2 linked regions of the Coturnix japonica genome follow. The protein of the gene in region 1 interacts with the protein of each later gene in a biochemical or structural test. Links are inferred from orthologs where the notes say so. Each region holds a gene or a part of one and is shown in the gene's direction. Other genes may lie near its edges.

Region 1 (5,539 bases):
AGGGGTCTATGTAAAAAATACCGAGCGAACCAGTCCTTAAATTGCGGGGACTTGTTTGTTAATTACAGTAATTAGGAATGGAATCTGATCCTAAACTTTCTGATTTGCTTTGAATTTCTCTTAATGTGTGGTTAGACCTTAATTTTCAGAACGATTCTAAAATGTGAGACTGCAGAGGCCTCAGTATTGTTGTTCAGTGACAAACTGAGTTCTGTGCTCCCGCTGCTGCCCGCAGTGCAGAACCTTTTGCTGTCGCTGTGCATGGCCGGTTCCTGCCCACTGCCTTTAGGGCACGATGTGGCTGTAGGAAGCACGGGCACGGCCAGCACTGGCTCTTGGGCCAGCTGGGTCCTACGGTGTTAGCGAGTCTGGGTCAGCATCTGCCCCTCTTCTGCAAATGGGTTTAATGGAGCAGAGCCTGCAGGATCCACACAGCCAGACGTGGCAGAGGTTGTGGGGCTTCTTTGGAGATATTCAAGACCCATATGGACGCCTACCTATGTGACCTGTATGGAACCTGTGTAGTTGGTTGTATGGGTTGGGCTCTGTGATCTCTTCAGGACCTTCCTGACCCCTGCAGTTCTGTGATGCTGTGATTTCTGCTCACATTGAAGCATCCCAGATTTCTGTCACAGGTCAGGGGATTTTATTCTCTATCAGAACTTTGGAGCTCTTCCATATGGGCACTTTGCTTGATCAGGCAGTGCATACCCTTTGTACCCACTGTTATGTGCTGAAACCAAAGTATATCATAATTTCAGAAGATACCATATATAAAAAGCAGTTAGGATTTATCTTTTCTGTTGACATTGAAAGGTGAAAAGTATGTTCATAAATCATAGATTCTGTGTGTTCTGTATTCTATATGGATGTTTCCCACGAGACACTCACAGCAGGCTGTGCTGGCTGCACCTCACGTCTGTGGCTCACGTGTGTGACCCCAAAGGTGGCTCTTGGTTCGTGGTGGTTTTGTTCCTAAGGCTTTGCCAGTCACTGTGAATTGCAAGGAACTCTGAGCAAGCAGTCTGATATCACAAGCTTCTGGTTCATTCAGCCCTCCAGGACTAAGAAATGTGGCAATTCTTTCTGTAGCCATAGCCATACTGGAGTTTTCTCTGCCGATCTCCCTCGCTCTCCCCTGCTTCACTGCCCTCGGTGCGTCCCTCCTTCCACTGTGCTGCTTTCCGAGCGGCCCGGCCCAGCGGATCTAAGGGCCGGCAGTTGGGGTCGGCAGGTCCGGCTGGACGGGGAGGCGGCAGCTCCGTGCCCCGAATCCGTCCCGTGCAGGGAGCGCGGGTCCCTCGGGCCGCGTGTCTCCCAGCAGCTGCTCGGGCCGGACTCGGAGCTGAGCCCCGGCGTTTCGCCTTCCGAGCGGCACGCTCGGGTTTATCTCGGGTAAACGCCGGGAGCCGGTCCACGCCCGACACAGCCCGAGATTGCGGTGTTTGCATTTGGGGAAATCCGTGATTAAATTTACCTGCCCGATTCGCGCCGCGGGACGGGACGGGACGGAGATGCAGCCCCGTGCGTTCATCCCCCACCGCCCGCGCACGGTGGGAGCCGTGGGACAGCGGCAGCGCGTCCCGGCCCGGCTCTGCCCACGGCCCCGTCCCGCAGCGCCGAGCCCCGCAGCCCCGCCCCGCAGGGCGCGCTCCCGGTCGGGTCCCAGCGCCGCTCGGGGCCGCGCTCCGCGGGTCCCCACGGGGCTCAGCTGGTGAACCCAGCGCGTCGAACCGGGCCGAGCTCCGGTAACTCCGCTGGGACGGCGCCTTGGGCCCCGGGGGCGGGCACCGTGCGCCATCCAGCCCGGCGTAATGGTTCGCGCGTAATGGTGAGCTGCGGGGCTGCTCCCCGGTGGAACGGGATCGGGCGCTGCGGGCTCCGAGCCCCCAGAGCGGGGGGGCGGGCGGAGCACAGGGACCGGGCAGGGCTCGGTGAGAGCGGAGCTCCCGAGGGAGGGCGGACGGCCGGGCCGGGGCGCTAAGACCCGGGGCGCGGTGGTCAGAGGTTCCCAGCAGGACACTAGAGGGCGATCCCCGGCCCTGCTGCGGGGGTGTATATATACGGCACGCAGGACCGAGGCAACCCACTAGGAACGGGACAGGCAGGCAGGCGGCGAGCGGGGCTCGGGCGGGCTGGGGCGGGGGACGGGCTCCGGGCGCGCCGAGCGGAGCCGCTTCGAGCCGAGCCGGGGGAGCGCGGGGTGCTGCGGGCTTGGCAGAGCCGCCGCCGCCCCGTCCGAACCCTGGATTGCCGGAGCCCTTCACCATGCCCGGCAGGCTGTAGGTGCTTCATGGAGCAAGCCAACTTCTACGAGGTCGATTCCCGGCCCCCGATGAGCAGCGGCCAGCACCACCAGCTCCAGACTCCCCTGCCCGGCAGCGCCTACGGCTACAGAGAGGCTCCCTCGGCGGCGGCACCTGCTGCGGGCGGCGCGGAGCTCGGCGACATCTGCGAGAACGAGCACTCCATCGACATCAGCGCCTACATCGACCCCGCCGCCTTCAACGACGAGTTCCTGGCCGACCTCTTCCAGCACAGCAAGCAGCAGGAGAAGCACAAGGCCGTCCTGGCCGGGGATTTCGATTTCCACAGCATGCACGGGGCCGGCGCGGCCGCCTCGGCTCCGGGGCACCACCCGCAGCACCAGCAGCAGCCGCTGTTCGGCTGCGCGGCCGGCTACATGGACGGCAAGCTCGACCCGCTGTACGAGCGCATCGCCGCGCCGGGTCTGCGGCCGCTGGTCATCAAGCAGGAGCCCCGCGAGGAGGAGGAGGTGAAGGCGGCGGCCCTGGCGGCCCTCTACCCGCACCCGCAGCAGCACCCGTCCCACCTGCAGTACCAGATCGCCCACTGCGCTCAGACCACCGTGCACCTGCAGCCCGGGCACCCCACGCCGCCCCCCACGCCCGTGCCCAGCCCGCACCACCCGCACCATCCGCACCCCCCGGGCGCGTTGCCCGCCGCCCCCGGCGCCCTCAAGATGATGCCCGCCGACCACCGCGGCAAATCCAAAAAGACAGTGGACAAGAACAGCAACGAGTACCGAGTGCGCCGGGAGCGCAACAACATCGCGGTGCGCAAGAGCCGGGACAAGGCCAAGCAGCGCAACCTGGAGACGCAGCAGAAGGTGCTGGAGCTCACCACCGACAACGAGCGGCTGCGGAAGCGGGTGGAGCAGCTCAGCCGGGAGCTGGAGACTCTGCGGGGCATCTTCAGGCAGCTGCCCGAGAGCTCGCTGGTGAAGGCCATGGGCAGCTGCGCTTAGCCGGGCCCTCCCGCTGCTCCGGGCGGTCCGAGCGGTGCCGGAGCGGGCTCAGATTGTGGGGGGTGGGCTAGTTTGTTTTCCCTTTTTTTTTTTTTTTTTTGTTTCTTTTTTTTTTCTCCCCGACAATAATGACCAATAAAAGAAGCCAGGCAGCTGTAGTATTACCAGGTCGGTGCCTTAGGGTTGACACACGAATAAGCTGAAAAACGTGGTGGGTTTTGTAAGGAGAAAGGAGAGGGGAAGGAAGAGATTAAACAAAAAAGCCCACGTGTCTACACAGGGTAAATGACAATAATAATAGTAACAGTAATAAAGCACATAGAGCAGCCCAGATGTGCCTTAAAGCTGCCTGCAGGAGGTCCGTGCCCTCAGCCCGCCGAGGAAGGAGCGCGGGGACGTGCGGGCTGCGGGGCCGGAACGGGGACGGCGGCGGATGCGGAACGGCAGCGGAACCGGGACCGTCAGCGGGACGGGACGAGCCGAGCGACGGACATCGGGACCCACGGCCAGCCGGGTTCGCGGACAGCCCGTCCCGGCAGCCGGACAGTAGGGCCGAGGGCGGCCCGGCGGAGCTCCCTGCGCCGACGGGGAGAGCGGCGGCGATTCGTACTGTATGTCACGACATGGCGAAGCACAAGTGAATAAATACCTATCGATGCGGGTATTTACTACGAACTCTCAGCGTATTTTGCTTTCTCCCAGGACATTCAGCTCCTCTCCGCGTCTGTGTCTGCCCAAGCTGTGCCTCATGTAATGTGAAAGCCTTTCCGTGTATACTAGCTACACTATTTTTATCGCGTTACTTAGATCTTTGCCATCACACCACTTTCTTATCTGGTGACAGAGACTATGCCCTCGTGCTGCAACGTTATTTTATTATTTGTGTGGGTGGGTGGGTGAGTGCGAGCTGCGCTGCTGCGGGCGGCCGCGGCCCCGTCCGGCCGGGGGCAGCGGGAGGGCAGCGCGGGTGCGTGCGGGGCGCGTGTGCGGCGTGCGTGTGCGGTGGGAACGTGGACGTATATGCACACATCGGTGTTCTGTTTTTGTTTTTTATAATTCGGGAGGGGACCGCATATACAGTTTTGTCGGATAGTCCTGGTTACATTCATAATAAACAGCATATACTCTGCCATCACCGCCCGCTGCGTGTTCCAGTGCTCGTCCCGGGGCCGGCCGGCTCTGAGCCCCTTTCGGCACCGCGGCCCGGGCCGCCGATCGCTCCCGTTTGCCCCGTTCGTGCGACGCCTTCGGGAGGCGGCGGTGTGTCTGTGTCTGTGTCTGTGTCTGTGTCTGTGTCTGTGTCTGTGTCTGTGTCTGTGTCTGTGCCGCGTGCAGGTGCGATCCCGCCGGGCGCTGCGGGGCCGGGGCGGAGGGAGCGACCGGGTGGGACGCGACGGCGTCGGGACACGCGGAGACGCCGCGCGGCCGCTCGCGGTGCCGGACCCCGCCCCTCCCCCGGGGAGTTTCGCCCCGGCCGGGCACACGGACGCCGCTCCGGGGCTCGACGCGGCACGACCCTCCCCCCTCTCCTTCCCCCCCGGGGTAACGGCTACCACGAGGCACCGGGCAGCTCGACCGCCGGCCCGAAAGGACGACCCCGCCCCGCCTCGGCGCGCCCGGGGTCGGGTTCGGGGCCGCAGCACGAGGGGAGGCGGCTCGAGCGGCAGCTGCGATAGGGCAACAGGGCCCCGCCCGGCGGAGGGAGCGCGGCCGGGTCGGGCCAAGGGGCCGCGCCGCCCGCACCAGGAACGGGGGGAACCCGGGGCGGAAGGACGGCTCCGAGGTGAAGCGACGGCCGGCGGGGTCGTGCAAGGAGCCATCCCACCGCCCAGCGCTTATCGGCGCCGCACGTGGGCGGGGCGGAGCAGCGCTCCGCGGGGACGCGGCGAGGAGCACGCGGTACGGCAGGTGCGAGGCCGGAGGGAGGAGGCCGGGAGTCCGCTGCGATCCCGCTGCGTTGCGGGGCCGTGCGGGCCGAGCCGTCCCGGCGGTACCGAGCGCTCGGTGCTCTGCTCGGCGGGATGCGCTGCGGGCACGGTCCGACTGCGCTGAGCGAAGGTAAGGCCGGGCTACTCCGCGCATCGTGGCGGTAGGGCGTGCGGCGGGATGAAGGAGTTTTACTTTTCGGTTAGATTCACATTAAGACGCATCGCTCGTTGCGAGGGAAGAGCTGAACTTTGCGGCTGCCGGACAGAAATACGGACGTTTGGTTTCTTTCCCCCCCAGCCCCGCAGAGCCGGGCTGCTGCCGGCCACGTGCTGCGCTGTGAGT
Region 2 (5,328 bases), on another chromosome or scaffold:
TTATAAATGGCCCAATCCAACAGGGTCCCTCTGCGTATCCCATGGGATACACTGACAGAAAACCAGACCTGTCCCAGGCACTGGGGAAGTGGGGTGATGGTTACACAATTCCCATTGCTGCTGGCTGCTCCAGTTACAGAGATAAAGGGTCAGAGAAGTGGAGCAGTGGAGACAGATAACTGCGCATCACAGGGCGAGCAGCTGAGCTCGCAGTGCGGGCACTGCCAAACCTAAGACAGATGCTGGAATGCCATGGGAGAAGAATTCCTTAAGTAACACGGGAATGGAACGGCAATGCCCAAAGTCCCCTTAGGGAACACTTAGGTAGTGACAGGACAAGGGCGAATGGCTTTAAATGAACATCACGGAACCACTGAGGTCAGAAATGACCACCAAGCCCCTTGTCCCGTGCTACAAAGATGGAGGCATACGTGGAATGAGGGAGCTGCAGTCAAATATGGAACCTGAAGATCTGATCATGTCTCTTTGCCAGAGTTTCCTAATCCCTCTTACCAGAAACATCCCTCGCTTCACAATCACACCTTATTCATGTCATCAAAATGGATGATATGGGAATATTAAATATTAAAATGTTTTATTATTTACAGATTAATAATATTGTGTATTTTAGGAGGGCTGCTCTGAAGGTCGTGCCTCCTATTTTATAACGGCCCACAGTGTCAGAGGTGGATGCTGGTGATGGGGCAGTAGTGGTTGAGCCTTCCCACCAGTATTCAGTTCTGTGTTGTTGCCATGGGACAGATGGCAGCAGAGGGGCTGAATGGAATCGGACATGGAAGTGCGTGTGAAGCAGAGGTGTGTCACTGAGCAACTCCATGCAGAAAAAACGGCACCCACTGATGTACAATGACACTCAATGAGCGTTTCTGCAGATGGGACTGATCACTGATGGGACTGATCACTAATGGGACGTCACTGATGGGACACATCACTGATGGGACTCATCACTGATGGGACGTCACTGATGGGACGCAGCCTTCCAGGAGAGGAAACACGGAGCAGAAGTGCTGATGGCTCCGTGCGTGCTTTGCCTATAAGGGGAACAAAATACAACAGCGCGTTCCGAGCTGCAGTGAATCGCTCCGAAAAAATCTGCAGGCGTTCTTCGAATTGTTTGGTAAAGGAAAAAAAATATATATATATATATATAAAGGCAAAGAAAGGAAAATGCAGCCCCTGGGATATCCCTTTATGGCAGATGCATTTTGTGTTTAAACGCATTAATGGCTCTGCTATGCCGTGACTCACACAGCAGCACGGTTTCACGCGTTTCTTAAAATACACGTTGAGCGCTGACGGCGGCGCCGGGCGCTGCCTGCGGGAGCGGCACGGGGAAACCTCAGCGCCGAGCGCCTGGGAACGGGCACCGATGTGAACTGAAGAGCCGGCCGTGCGCTAACACTGCGGCTCCCCGCTCCTTGTTCGCTTTGCTGCCCGTTTCTCTCTTGCTTTCCGGCTCCCCGCCCTACAGCTGCCCCTCGCCGGCTGCCGGGGACGCGGTTTCACGGGGGCTGATCGCCCCGAGGAGCCTCGTGGCGACGGAGCCGGGCTCCGCTTTTCGCTTTCGCTCGTGGGAGCAGCGCGGGGCCGCCGGAACTCCGCAACCGGGGTCGGGGTCGGGGTCGTCCCGGAGCGACGGGCGCGGCCGGGAGCATCGCACGGTGCAGCTCGGGGGCACGGCGGGGCGGGCGGACAGCGGGGCGGAGCGGAGCGGGGCCGGGCCGAGCTCCCTCCTCCCACTTCCCCGTGCGTCAGGGCCGGGAGGAGGAGGAGAAAACTGCTTTTTTTTTTTTTTAAAGCCTCCAACTACTTTAGCGCGGAGTCGGCAGCAGATGGTGGACACGGCCCGGGGCTGCGGCGGGGACAGCGAGGGGATGCGCCAGCCGCGCTCCGCCCGCCCTTAGCCCCCGGCCCCGCTTCTTCTTCTCCTTCACCTCGCCCTCCACCATCACCTCTTCCTCCTCTTCTTCCTCTCCCCGCTCCGCTCCGCGCCCCCCATGAGCCGCCCCGCTCCGCCGCCGCCCCGCCGCGCCGCCGCGCTCCTCCTGCCGGCAGCCCGCTGCCGCAGCGCCCCGGCCAAGCGGCTCCAGCCGCTGCACGACGGCCCCGCCGAGGAGGCTCCGGCCGCCAAGTGCCCGCGCCTGGCCGAGTGTCCCGGCGGAACCCCGGACTGCCTGAGCGCCCCCGGCTCGCCCTGCGCGCCCGTCTCGCCCGCAGCCGGCGGAGGAGCGGCGGGGAATGTGGGCACGGCGGGGCCCAGCCTCATCGCCTCGTACCTGCTGCTGCCGCTGGCCGAGCGCGAGCAGGTGTCCCGAGCGCTCAGCGTCAGCTCCGGCCGGGAGCTCCGCTGCAAGGTGAGCGCCGGGCGGTGCGGGCTCGGAGGGGGCTGAGAGGGGACGAAAGGCTTCGGGGCGGTTCGTGCTTTCCGTCGGTTTGGCTTGTGCTCCCCGTCGTCCGTGCGGAACGAACGGCGGAGCCGCGGGGAGGCTCCCGGTGCCGCTCCCGAGCGCGCTGGCGCTCCTCCATTCCCGGCATTGTTTGCAAAGAGTCTCTAGACGCGATTCCGCTCCCAACGCCCTCGAGAACGAACGTTGTGCTCGTTTCCTTTGTGCAGGTGTTCCCTCTCAAACACTACCAGGACAAGATCCGGCCCTACGTCCAGCTGCCCTCGCACTGCAACATCACCGGCGTGGTGGAGGTGATCCTCGGGGACACCAAGGCCTACGTGTTCTTTGAGAAGGACTTTGGGGACATGCACTCCTACGTGCGGAGCTGTAAGAGGCTGAGGGAGGAGGAGGCCGCCCGGCTCTTCCGACAGATCGTGGCGGCCGTCGCTCACTGCCACCAGTCGGCCATCGTGCTCGGAGACCTCAAGCTCAGGAAGTTTGTCTTCTCCAACGAGGAGAGGTGAGCGGCTGTCACCGGGCAGGTGGGGGGAAGCCTGGTTCAGAAGGGCAAAGAGCATCCCAGGAACAGGGTGGACCTGTGCCCCGTGTGTGCAGTGGGGCGCCTGCTGGCTGTGGTTGGGTCTTGGCTGAGGAGCTCTCCATCAGCCTCCCCTCTTCCAGCAGAAGTTCAGTGAGGCAGTCACAGGGAGTCAGTTGGGTCTTGGTGATGATGGATGAGTTTTGGGGTCAAATGGATGAAGGGATGGGATGTGGAGGGAATGAGGGCAGCACGGTGCTGCTCAGCATCTCCGCGTTGGTGGCAGTGCTTCTGCTGCTCCATGGATATGGGCATGCACGGCACAGAGGGCGGTCCATGGTTAAATGTCCTGCAGAGGGGAAAACTGGTAGAACTTAACCTAAAGCCTGAGTTATGGCAAGGTGGTTCCAGCTTCCCCCATCTGCTGGCACGCTGCTGGGATCAGCTTCTAAATCTAGACCGAGGCGAAGCATTCAGTGTCTCCCTGGAGAGCTGGCTGCTCTGTGCACTGCGCTGCACGTGGCAGGGCTGGGAGTGCGGTGTCAGCCCCGGGAACTGACCCTGAGTGGCTGCTGTGCTGTAGGAAGCTCAAAACATGGGCACAGGCTGCAATGGGGTCGTGCTTAATGCGACGAAACGGAAGGAACCGCTGTGTTTGGTTTTCTTTTTTAACTGCTTCTGTGGGATATCGTTTGTGAAGGTGATAAGACGACGAACCAGAACTGCACCTCTTAAACAGAAACAGCCGTATGTTGACATGCAAAGAAAGTAATTCCTTTGAAGGAAACTATTGCAGCTTTTCCCGCCCCTAGTGAGATGAAACATTTGTTGAAATGTTACATTGCACACAGCCCGGCTCGTTTGGAAATTGGCGTTGCACAGGCGAGTGTCATGTGCATTGCGTTTGGCAAGAAGAGGGTTAAGCAATGGCAGGCGGGCGCTGGGGCTCACCAGCACAGGTGCAGTTTCAGTGCTCCCGCGGCCAATCCTGGGCCCACGGTTCGCATTGAGTCACATTTTCCGTTTACAGAACCGATGGGTATTTTGCATTGCAGCGGGAGGTCACGCCGAGGACAGGCTGCAGTTAGCACATCCCTGTGGCACGTGAGCCGTGGCTGCTGGTGGGAAGCTCCCGGTTTGCCACTACCGGGAGCAGGGCACCACCTGGAAAGGCAAAAGGGAGAAAATAGGGATTGAGCAAGCTGGTGAGCGCCGAGAGTGCAGAACAGCCAGGCTTTGTGTTGTGAAAATGAATGCTGGGATGGCAGCAGGAGCCTCGCTGGCGTTCCTCGAGAGCCCAGCATTTGCTGTCGGCCCAGCAAATGAGCGTGCATGTAGCTGCACTTGGGGCTGGGATCAGCATCCCTGGTGCAGATTAGGAAGTTGTCGCCTCTCCTTTGCTAATGCATGGAAGGGAGCGGTGGTCGCTGTGCAGAGCAGTTGGTCTTGCTGCCACATGTCTCTAACCCATGGCTTCTCCTTGTTGCTCCCCACAGGACGCAGCTGAGGCTGGAGAGCCTGGAGGACACGCACATCATCAAGGGCGAGGACGACGCGCTGTCGGATAAACACGGCTGTCCTGCCTACGTCAGCCCCGAGATCCTCAACACAACGGGGACGTACTCGGGGAAGTCAGCCGACGTGTGGAGTTTGGGAGTGATGCTGTACACGCTGCTCGTGGGCCGCTATCCCTTCCATGACTCGGACCCTAGCACCCTGTTTTCCAAAATCCGCCGCGGACAGTTCTGTATTCCTGACCACGTCTCCCCCAAAGCCCGATGCCTCATCCGCAGCCTCCTGCGGCGGGAGCCCTCCGAGAGACTTACAGCCCCGGAGATCCTGCTCCATCCCTGGTTCGAGGCGGTCCTGGAGCCAGGATATACAGACCAGGAGACAGGGACTTCTGATCAGATTGTTCCAGAATACCATGGAGACAATGACGATATCAGTTCCTTCTTCTGCTAACCCTGATATCTCAAGAACCTCGCCATTCTCACCTCTGGCATCTCCGTAGGGTTTGGTTATTTTATTTTTCCACATTACAGACTCAAAGCATCTTAAAGTGCCAGTATGGTCAGAAAAGTGACCTTGTTTCAGATGAACGTCGACCTGCAGATCTCTGCTGTGAGCACACACAGAGGCTCGATGCTCGCCCTGCCGGCAGCATGGTCCTGCTGCCTGGAGGAGCTACATGGTTCTGCTCCTGCCTCCCGAGCCCTATGCCCTTCCTTGCTGTGTTTTGGCTGCAGAGTCTTATTGCTGGCAATGGGAGAGACGCAGAGCCTGCCCTCGGCATCCCCCTTTGCCCCAGGTTGTATGGACGGTGATGTGCAGTGGGTGGAGGGCACAGGGCATTTCTCTAACTGAGCAAATCTGACAAAT

What was found. The genes of interacting proteins can lie anywhere in the genome.
Region 2: the proteins of CEBPA (region 1) and TRIB1 form a complex in vitro, tested with the Homo sapiens proteins (2 studies listed by BioGRID and IntAct, with this or other methods). The link is inferred for Coturnix japonica from reciprocal best matches to the Homo sapiens genes CEBPA and TRIB1.

What each region holds. Positions count from the first base shown.
Region 1 is NC_029526.1:8,910,817-8,916,355, reverse strand, and holds CEBPA (CCAAT/enhancer-binding protein alpha), read left to right. Parts: upstream 1-1,875; 5' UTR 1,876-2,293; coding exon 2,294-3,268; 3' UTR 3,269-4,403; downstream 4,404-5,539. UniProt on the Homo sapiens protein: Transcription factor that coordinates proliferation arrest and the differentiation of myeloid progenitors, adipocytes, hepatocytes, and cells of the lung and the placenta.
Region 2 is NC_029517.1:125,153,489-125,158,816, forward strand, and holds the start of TRIB1 (tribbles homolog 1), read left to right. Parts: upstream 1-1,707; 5' UTR 1,708-2,018; coding exon 2,019-2,375; intron 2,376-2,635; coding exon 2,636-2,928; intron 2,929-4,442; coding exon 4,443-4,911; 3' UTR 4,912-5,328. UniProt on the Homo sapiens protein: Adapter protein involved in protein degradation by interacting with COP1 ubiquitin ligase. The COP1-binding motif is masked by autoinhibitory interactions with the protein kinase domain.